Linked DNA regions of Solanum lycopersicum. The protein of the gene in region 2 binds, or shares a complex with, the protein of the main gene of each other region. Links are inferred from orthologs where the notes say so. Each region holds a gene or a part of one and is shown on either strand. Other genes may lie near its edges.

The links. Proteins that work in one complex are often made in the same cells at the same time.
Region 1: large ribosomal subunit protein uL15c (region 2) and large ribosomal subunit protein bL21c share a complex: the UniProt entries of both Arabidopsis thaliana proteins name them as parts of the 50S ribosomal subunit. The link is inferred for Solanum lycopersicum from reciprocal best matches to the Arabidopsis thaliana genes RPL15 and RPL21C.

Annotation. Positions count from the first base shown.
Region 1 is NC_090805.1:43,261,558-43,265,786, forward strand, and holds the start of large ribosomal subunit protein bL21c, read left to right. Parts: upstream 1-1,333; 5' UTR 1,334-1,456; coding exon 1,457-1,750; intron 1,751-3,205; coding exon 3,206-3,286; intron 3,287-3,676; coding exon 3,677-3,778; intron 3,779-3,870; coding exon 3,871-3,945; intron 3,946-4,215; coding exon 4,216-4,229. Other genes in the region: calcium-dependent protein kinase 11, read left to right, coding at 1-98. UniProt on the Arabidopsis thaliana protein: This protein binds to 23S ribosomal RNA in the presence of protein L20.
Region 2 is NC_090804.1:3,795,166-3,799,386, reverse strand, and holds the start of large ribosomal subunit protein uL15c, read left to right. Parts: upstream 1-1,270; 5' UTR 1,271-1,463; coding exon 1,464-1,544; intron 1,545-1,622; coding exon 1,623-1,980; intron 1,981-4,221.

The DNA.
Region 1 (4,229 bases), on a different chromosome or scaffold from region 2:
AGGGAAATACAGGATTTGCTGCTAGAACAATGAGAGGCAATTTGAATTTTAACTTGGCTGATGCACTTGGAGCAAGTGACAGTGAGAAAAAAGAATAGAAGGTTTCTACTTCTATAATATATCAAAAAATGCATATTATTAGGAAATGTATTATACCAACATTATATTTAGATTGTTTGGTATCTAACTCTCTAATTCTAGCATGATTGTTTACCAGACCAAGCTGATAGAATACGTTGGACCAACCAATAACCAGAGGAGTTCAAGGAGGCTTTCAACCGGACGAGAGGGGTCAAGTAGAGCTGTGTTTGCCAAGACAATGTTGGGCTATTACCAGCATATATTGGTGCTCTATTATTTTGTGATGGTAGATAGATTTAGTGCTATAGTAGCAAAATTTCAGTTGTTGCTACTCTCAGCAACAGCATGCCCAGTATCTTTCCACGAGCGAGATCTGGAGAGGGTGGGATGTAAACAAACGTTACTCCTACTTTTGCTACTTTATCTTATATAATTTGAGGGTTTTTCCTCTAGTTCATAAATTCTAAAATATTACAGTTGTTTGTACCTGAGAAGTGTTGTAAAAACCTTCTTTATGTCTATATTAATTTGATGTTACTGGAAATTGAGTACCTTTTAAGATCATTTTGTCATATATTAAACACTAAAATAAATTTCAGTCTTCTTTTATTTGTGTAATTTTTTTGATTTATTTTTTTTTCCTTCCAATTTTGCGGGCTTGATTTTTAACATAACAAATGGCATTACTTTTGTTCTTATTTTACTCTTCTTACCACGTATTTGTAATCTTACTTCTACGTTTTAAAGATAGAATAATTATTTTTTAAGAGCCTCAAATTAAATAAAACATATCAAAAATAGTACTAGCACTATGAAAATTAAATATAATGTATATGTAATTGCAAAAAGTAGATGGGAGGCTTTACATAACTAACCTCGAGTCAAAATTAAACAATGATGGCTTCAAGAGTAAATGACCTATTATATAATTTAGAATATTTGTTAATCTCTCCATTTCAAAAAGGATGGTCTAGCTTGCCTTGAAACAGAATTTAAGAAGAAAAAAAAATTTTTTAATCTTGTGATTCTAAATTAAAGTTATGTCAAATGTACCAAAATATCCTTTAATCTTGTGGTCTTAAACATGTCACGTGGAAAGTTCAAGTTAAAATATTATGAAAAAAGGAAATGAGTTTTTTGTTTTGAAACAGACTAAAAAAGGAAATAGAGACGTTCTTTTTGAAACGAAGGGAGTATTATGTTACGAGAATATGTAAATTTATACTATTTCTAATACAATTATTTTTAAAAAAATAAATAAAGGATTTCGGGGTAAAATAGTCATTTGGCTACCACTGCAGATAGGATAGGCTTCAACAGATAAAATTGAGAGAGAGACAGAGAATACCCAAAAAAAACCTCTCACTCTCTAACAATGGCAACCCTTTCCCTGTGTTCTACATCTTCCCCCTCAACAGCACTTTCCAAGAACCAAACTTTTCTTAACACCCTTTCTGTTCCCAAAGCAAATTCCAATGTTACTTTTCTATCTCACTCATTTTCCTCTCTCAATCTCCGTTTCTCCAAGCCCAATTCTTTATCCTCTTTTGTACCCAAATACTCAGAATCTGAAGCTCCAGTAGCTGAAGTTGAAGCTGACCAAGAAGAGCCTGTTGTGGAAGCCACTAGCTTGGAACCAAAACGGGAAGAAATCTTTGCTGTTGTTATGGTGACGACTCACTTCCATTCATGTTTAAATTTGTGTAGACATATCTGTTTGTTTTCAATTTCGAAATCAATGTGAGGGTACAATTTAGATTTTTATTGAAAAAATTATGAGGTCCCAAATGAAAATTTGAAAATTCAGCGGAAAATGTTTCAGTTGTCTGTTACCTTGAATTTTTTTCTCGAAGGAAATAGGAAATTGATCTATTCCCTCTAAGGGAATGTTACTTTGTTGTATAGAGATCACAACTTTGGTTCAAGATTGTCATGTGCTCAACCTTTGATATCACAAAAGCAGTCGGAATTTTAATAAGGGGAATTCAAAATTACTCAGACCTATTATTGAAGCAATTTCTCGAATTAACCTTTGCCACTAGAACGAAAACTTCCTTTATGTCAAACGGATTAGAAGTTCCAAAAATTTGTTTTCATGAAGAATGTTCCACCACACCTCACTCACTTAGTTCATATTTCGTGTTTGCTAGTACTGTTGATACATTACTGCTTCCTATGGTGTATGTGGTGAAAATAGGGAGTGTTACAATGAAATTCTTTCGTTCTGTTATTTATACGTCAATGCCATTCTGTGATGCTTAGGTTTAGCATTCTGTTTTAGGGTGTCTTAAAGGAACAATACACATGTCTATATGTTTGTGTCATATTGACTTGGCAGTGGTGGTGGCTATTGGAAATGTTAAAATAGTCCGTGCTAAATAAGCTGAACTGAACTTTTTATATGCTTAGTATTCTCCAGTAGAGTTGGCTGATGTTAACAGAAAACTATAATTATTATGAAGACATGACGAAGATTTAGTACTTGGTATATCCTTACCTGTGTTCTGGACACCATCCAATTTCAAAAATCTCAGTCTATGTTCTCTTTGGTTTTAGTTTAATTTCGTTTTACAAGTGGGCCATCTATTTTCGGTAGGCGTTTCCTCTAGTTAAGTTGCAAAGGGGTTCATATGGCAGATTAGAAGTAATATAACTAATAAATAACTGATAACTATCATTTAGTTCTAACTTTAGGTGTTATACAGTTGTCAGAGGGAATACATATCTACAAGTCCATGCAAACATTTAAGCAAAAGTCTAGTAATTGTTGAAATTTGATTTTGAGGTTGCCATATTCTACACTTTCATCTTTTATTTAATGTGAATTGTGAACTATTGTATTTAACCGGAGAAAACATTCATGTTTACTACTTATTTGATGAATATTTTTTCTTTTCCATGTGGAAAATACTCACTCTTGCGAGGAGATTATAGCTGCTATTTCAATCTGATCATTATTCCTGCTGCTAACAATTTTCAAGTCCTCTAGGTGTCAAATTTTGTGCTTTATTTTGTTCTTTTTTCTTTTTTTCAGATGAATGTGACACTACCCTAATATAACTCTATGGGGCTTGTCTTTAATACGTTAAGCTGTTTGTTCATTTTTGCTCTTTCGCTTTCATAGGTTGGATCTCGGCAATATATTGTTTTTCCTGGGCGGTATATCTACACCCAGAGGCTTAAAGGTGCAAATGTCAATGACAAAGTGAGCATTTTTGGTCTTAATTTACAATTGATTTCCCAAAATCTGGTTACCTCTCTGTGGCTTTGGCTTTAGTTACGTGAGTTGTTTTTCTTTTTCCTTGTCTCGCTATCTCATATCAACATTGTGGTGTCCAATCAAAAAGAACTTGCTTGCAGCAATTTCTCAATTATGTCAAAAGGCATCAATTTCAACCAATAGTGACATTTGCTTGTCCTATTTCTATTATCTTTAATACATTGTCTTCACCAGTTATTTTCCACGGAAGCTAACACTTGATATAAGGGTTATATGTGTATGTCAAGGTTTTCTTGCCATATTGGCAATACTCTTATTTCAAAATTTCCACAATGAGGATCATTGTTGAAGCATCTATACTTGTTGCTTCTGCAGATTATCCTAAACAAGGTGTTACTTGTGGGAACAAAAACAAGTACTTGGGTTGGAAAACCAGTGGTGCCAAATGCAACAGTCCACGCTGTTGTTGAAGAGCAGGTCAGACATCATTCTTCCTCTGCTGTAGTTTCCACTGAGTATATCTTGTTTACTTGACATATCTGTTGGCTCATTATTACATTTCCATGCAGTTGAAAGATAAGAAGGTTATCGTCTTCAAGTATAAGAAGAAAAAGAACTACAGAAGGAATATTGGTCACAGACAGGTATCAAAGAACTGTTTTTAGTGATATCTGAATAACTATAAAGTAGTTTGAACTTTTTTAACCTATCTGTTTGCCCTTAAAGCAAGGCGCACCGTAGTCTATCATAGTTTTAACTATGTCTGCAAATAATTACCATGCAAACATGAAAACTGTCTAAATCAGTGAGCTTACAGCCATGTATGAGACATGCCCCTTAAAATGATATTTGTGCAGAATATCATAACTTGCCCTTGCTTATGCCAAACTAATTCGGTTTCTGTAATCATGCAGCCAATTACTCGGAT
Region 2 (4,221 bases):
AAGAGATGGAGGTTTGTGTGATTGTCAAATTTGTGTGTATATATATATATATATATATATATATAAAATAGAATACTTATATACATAGATATTTGTATTATAATATTAACACTCGTTGAAAATGGTGATTTACAAATACAAATATATCTGGATACATAAGTAATTTATCCAATTTACAAGATTGATTAGGCAATACAAGTACAATTGGATACATTAATACTATATTTTTATAAATACCTAAGTTAACACCAAGCTTCATGTATTACAGGATCACTTACCAAAAAGAGATTGGCAATTGTTATTTATCAATTTTTTATACAGGCGAATTCTTATATACTTTGATACCGACACATTCTATTATTTTCTATTTTTTTGTTTCTACGTTGTCCAATTTATCCATCTTTGATTTAGTAACACAATGTATTCATATGTATACTATATTGCATTCATTTTTTGAACAACAATAATGTATTCATTTTTCAAATAGCCGTGTTCATATGCTAATTGTCATACTTTAACTTGTTTGATATATATATTGATACATTAAATTCTTACAAAAACTTGTATCATTGATATATATATATATATATATATATATATATATATATATATACACTTTACGTTTTATAAATATAGATACTAATTTGAATTCAAAGTATTCATATACTAACTGTACACAATTAATACATTTTCCTTATTTAGTTTGTTGTAATTAAACTTGTATTACTGTATAAATAGAAAAATAATAATATTTAAAGAATTAATACAGCTAGAAAAAGATATAAATTGTATTCATTTTTTATAAATAACATACTTGTAGCTATTGAACTTTGATAAATCCTATAAATGTAGTCATTTTTATAATTTGCTGATTAATGAATGTATACAGAAATTTGGGCGGAGTAAGACAGGATTAAGGAGATTCTTTTAAATTTTCTTAAGCAGAACATTATAAGAGTAATCCTCATCGGAGTATAGCATGACGAAAGAGGAAGAAAAGAAAGATTACTATCTAAAAAAGAAGTTGACGAATTACTAATAACCCTCGTATAGAATTTATCAATGACTAAGTAATCAAACATGTTAGTAATTAATATGACTTGTAGCGAGCGTTTAGATCTCTCTTTCTTAATCATATGTTTCAAATTCAATCCCATAAATGAAAAAAATCAGTTAGGAAAGTCCCCTCTAAAAATGTGCCCAGTCGTGTGTGAATTCAAATTTTATTTAAGCCTATTACTAATATCAAACATCATGTTGGAAGCAAAAAAGACCACGATCCTCAAAATGAAGTGTAATACACACATATCGAATTAAATATCGAACACCTGATAATAGACTCGTAAACTAATTTAAAAAGTAGAAAAGAAAGTCCCTGAAATAACCACCCCTATCCGTTAAAATTTGTCAAAACACTTTTTGCTTGGACAGTGAACACAATCCTGAGTTCTCCCTTATCAACAATGGCGTCTCTACTCTCCATCTCCTCTGCATCACCTACAAGAACAAATTCAATCATTACCCAGTTTTCTTCATCATTCAAGGTACAATTTCTCCTCTTTAATTTTTCAATTTCTGTCAAAATTATACAATTCTCATTTATCCCCATCAATTTTTTTCAGGGTAATGTAAGTAATTTGAAGTCAAGTTCGAAGCTTTTGCCTTTAATAAAGGTCTGCAATTTGAAATCTAAGTCAATAACAAGAACCCCATTTGTTGTTTTCAACCAAACTGCAAGTTTTGGTGCTGATTCTGCAACTGGGAGTGTTCGTTTTCGGCTTAATAACTTGGGTCCTCAACCTGGGGCTACCAAGAATAGGAAGAGGAAAGGTAGAGGGCATTCAGCTGGACAAGGGGGTAGTTGTGGTTTTGGTATGAGAGGTCAAAAATCAAGGTCTGGACCTGGAGTTAGAAAGGGGTTTGAAGGGGGTCAAATGCCTCTCTATAGGAGACTTCCTAAGTTGAGAGGAATTGCTGGAGGTAATTTGTTAACATTGCTTCAACATAATTATATTATCACAGGGGTCGTTTGGTACAAGGGATAAGAGATAATAATCTCGGGATAAAATGTTGGATTGCCTTTGGTTAGGGGTATTAGTTAGTCCCTGAATATCTATCTTGTCATTTTTATAAGATAATGATAGGATAAGTTATCTCATATATATATGGCGGGATAACTAATTCCTCGGGATATACTAATCAATGGGATAACTTTGTCTATCTCATCCCTAGTACCAAATGACCCCTTAGTTTGAGTTGGATTTTGTTTTTCCTTGTTTTGTTGTTTGTTTCTGTGTCCATCTGCAGTGTTATAGTTTACCATTTAAAAGTCTATGGATAAGTGTTATAAAATTTATAGCTTTAACTTGACTATGTGTTCTTTTTTATATTTGTGTTCGGGGCACCTTGCATGCAGTAGTGTTGTCAAAGCTGTGCATAAGCGAGGTTCAAAATGTGTTGAGCGCTTTGTCTTGCTTAATGTGCTCTTCAGGGTCGTCATCAAGTTTCTTAGGCATTCTTTTGAGTCTCTTTAGGCAACACTAAACAATTGATATTTCACTTAATAGTAAAAAAAATAATTTCTTTGTTCATATATTTGTCATTCATGCTTACAATTATTATTCTTAGACTAAACAAACATATGTATTTGTATTTCTCCCTTTGCTCCTTTTTATATTAAAGATCATGCTTTATTCACGTTTTATGCTTAGTCCCAATGGTCCTCAGAGTTTTTTTGATTTGATAACACTGTCATGTACTTAATTCCACGGGTACCTGCTTCTTCCTGCCAACACTTGTGTTGGATATTCCTTTGCTACTTCATTCCTCAACTAATGGAATACAAACTCTTTTTTCTGCCCTGCCTGGTGTCATCCATCTCCAAATAGTAAATGCGCTGCTGAGCGGATAACTCTATCCAGAAAGGCTTGGATAAATGAATATTGAACAGGAGACATTATGGTTCTCAACCAACTCCATTAACAACTACGCCACTCACTTGGGTGCACTGTGTGTATCTTTGTTTACAAGCATGTTTGTTTTTCTTTTGGTTGTGTCATTGCAGAGGCAGATTTTCATAGGATGATAAAAAGTCTTATCTGCATCTGGTGGACATATGTGTATGCATACTCAAACTGTACTGATGATTAATCTAAAGAAATTTATTACAAATGATCAATATATTGCACTAAGAAATAAAGCTATGCATAGTTATATGACATCAAGGCAAATATCTTGAAATTCTTATTTTCTTATTTGCAATATTCTGAAATCCTCAACATTTTTATCTTCCTCTATAATCCGAAGACTGTTACCCCCTTATTTAAACTAAAAGGAAAGCCTTGATCGATATGAGAGAAATGTGCTCAAGCATCCAACCAGGTGTAACGTCTGTCAAGAAGTTTCTTACTGCAAAATGAACATTCTAGGAGCTCTCACTCGAACAAATGCTCCTTATGCCATCATAAACCGAATCAGCGGATATAAAATCTGTCCTTTCCTAACCTTCCCCTAGCAGGAAACTTATTTTAAAAGGAGGAGGATTTGGAAAGTTCATACTAAGGAGGTAAAAAGGCCCTCGAGTCAAAGGGCTATTCTTCCTTTGATTTGAAGAGAATGTCAGTGCCTTGACTCTCTAGTCTCAGTGTGGCTCTTGAGTAGTCTTCACTTTCCCTTATGCATGGCGTTTGATTAAGTATTTTCTTCAATGTCAAGTTGTTGGTATTACTAAGATGATTCATAACTGTCCTTTATTTTTGGCGTAACTTGTATCCATTCGCATTATATAATGCTGAACCTTGATACTCACACCTAGAGTTGTGTGTCAAAAAATAAGTTCTTACTTTTCTTAGGCCTTTCATACTGATTAGGCCTTGCCATGTCTAATTTTTATAACTTTGACTATTTTAGGCTATTCTAACTTAATAACTGAAGTAATTGATAGTGCTCTTTGTAAAACCTCCAATCTCGTCTTTTAATTTGTTTCATTATGTGTTTTGTTGATTTAGTTAAGGATTTCCCTCAAGTCAGGCTAATCTGTCAAAAGCAATTATCTACTACATGTTTACCACCTTTGCCACCCGTTCCTTGTATACTCAATATTGCTGACTATCAATTTCATTGACCGGTTAATGCATGAAATATAAATAAAGGACCATATTGATTAGCAGAAGTTTCTGAAGGGACAAACTTGTAAGATGAAGTTCACTTTGATTCTCAACC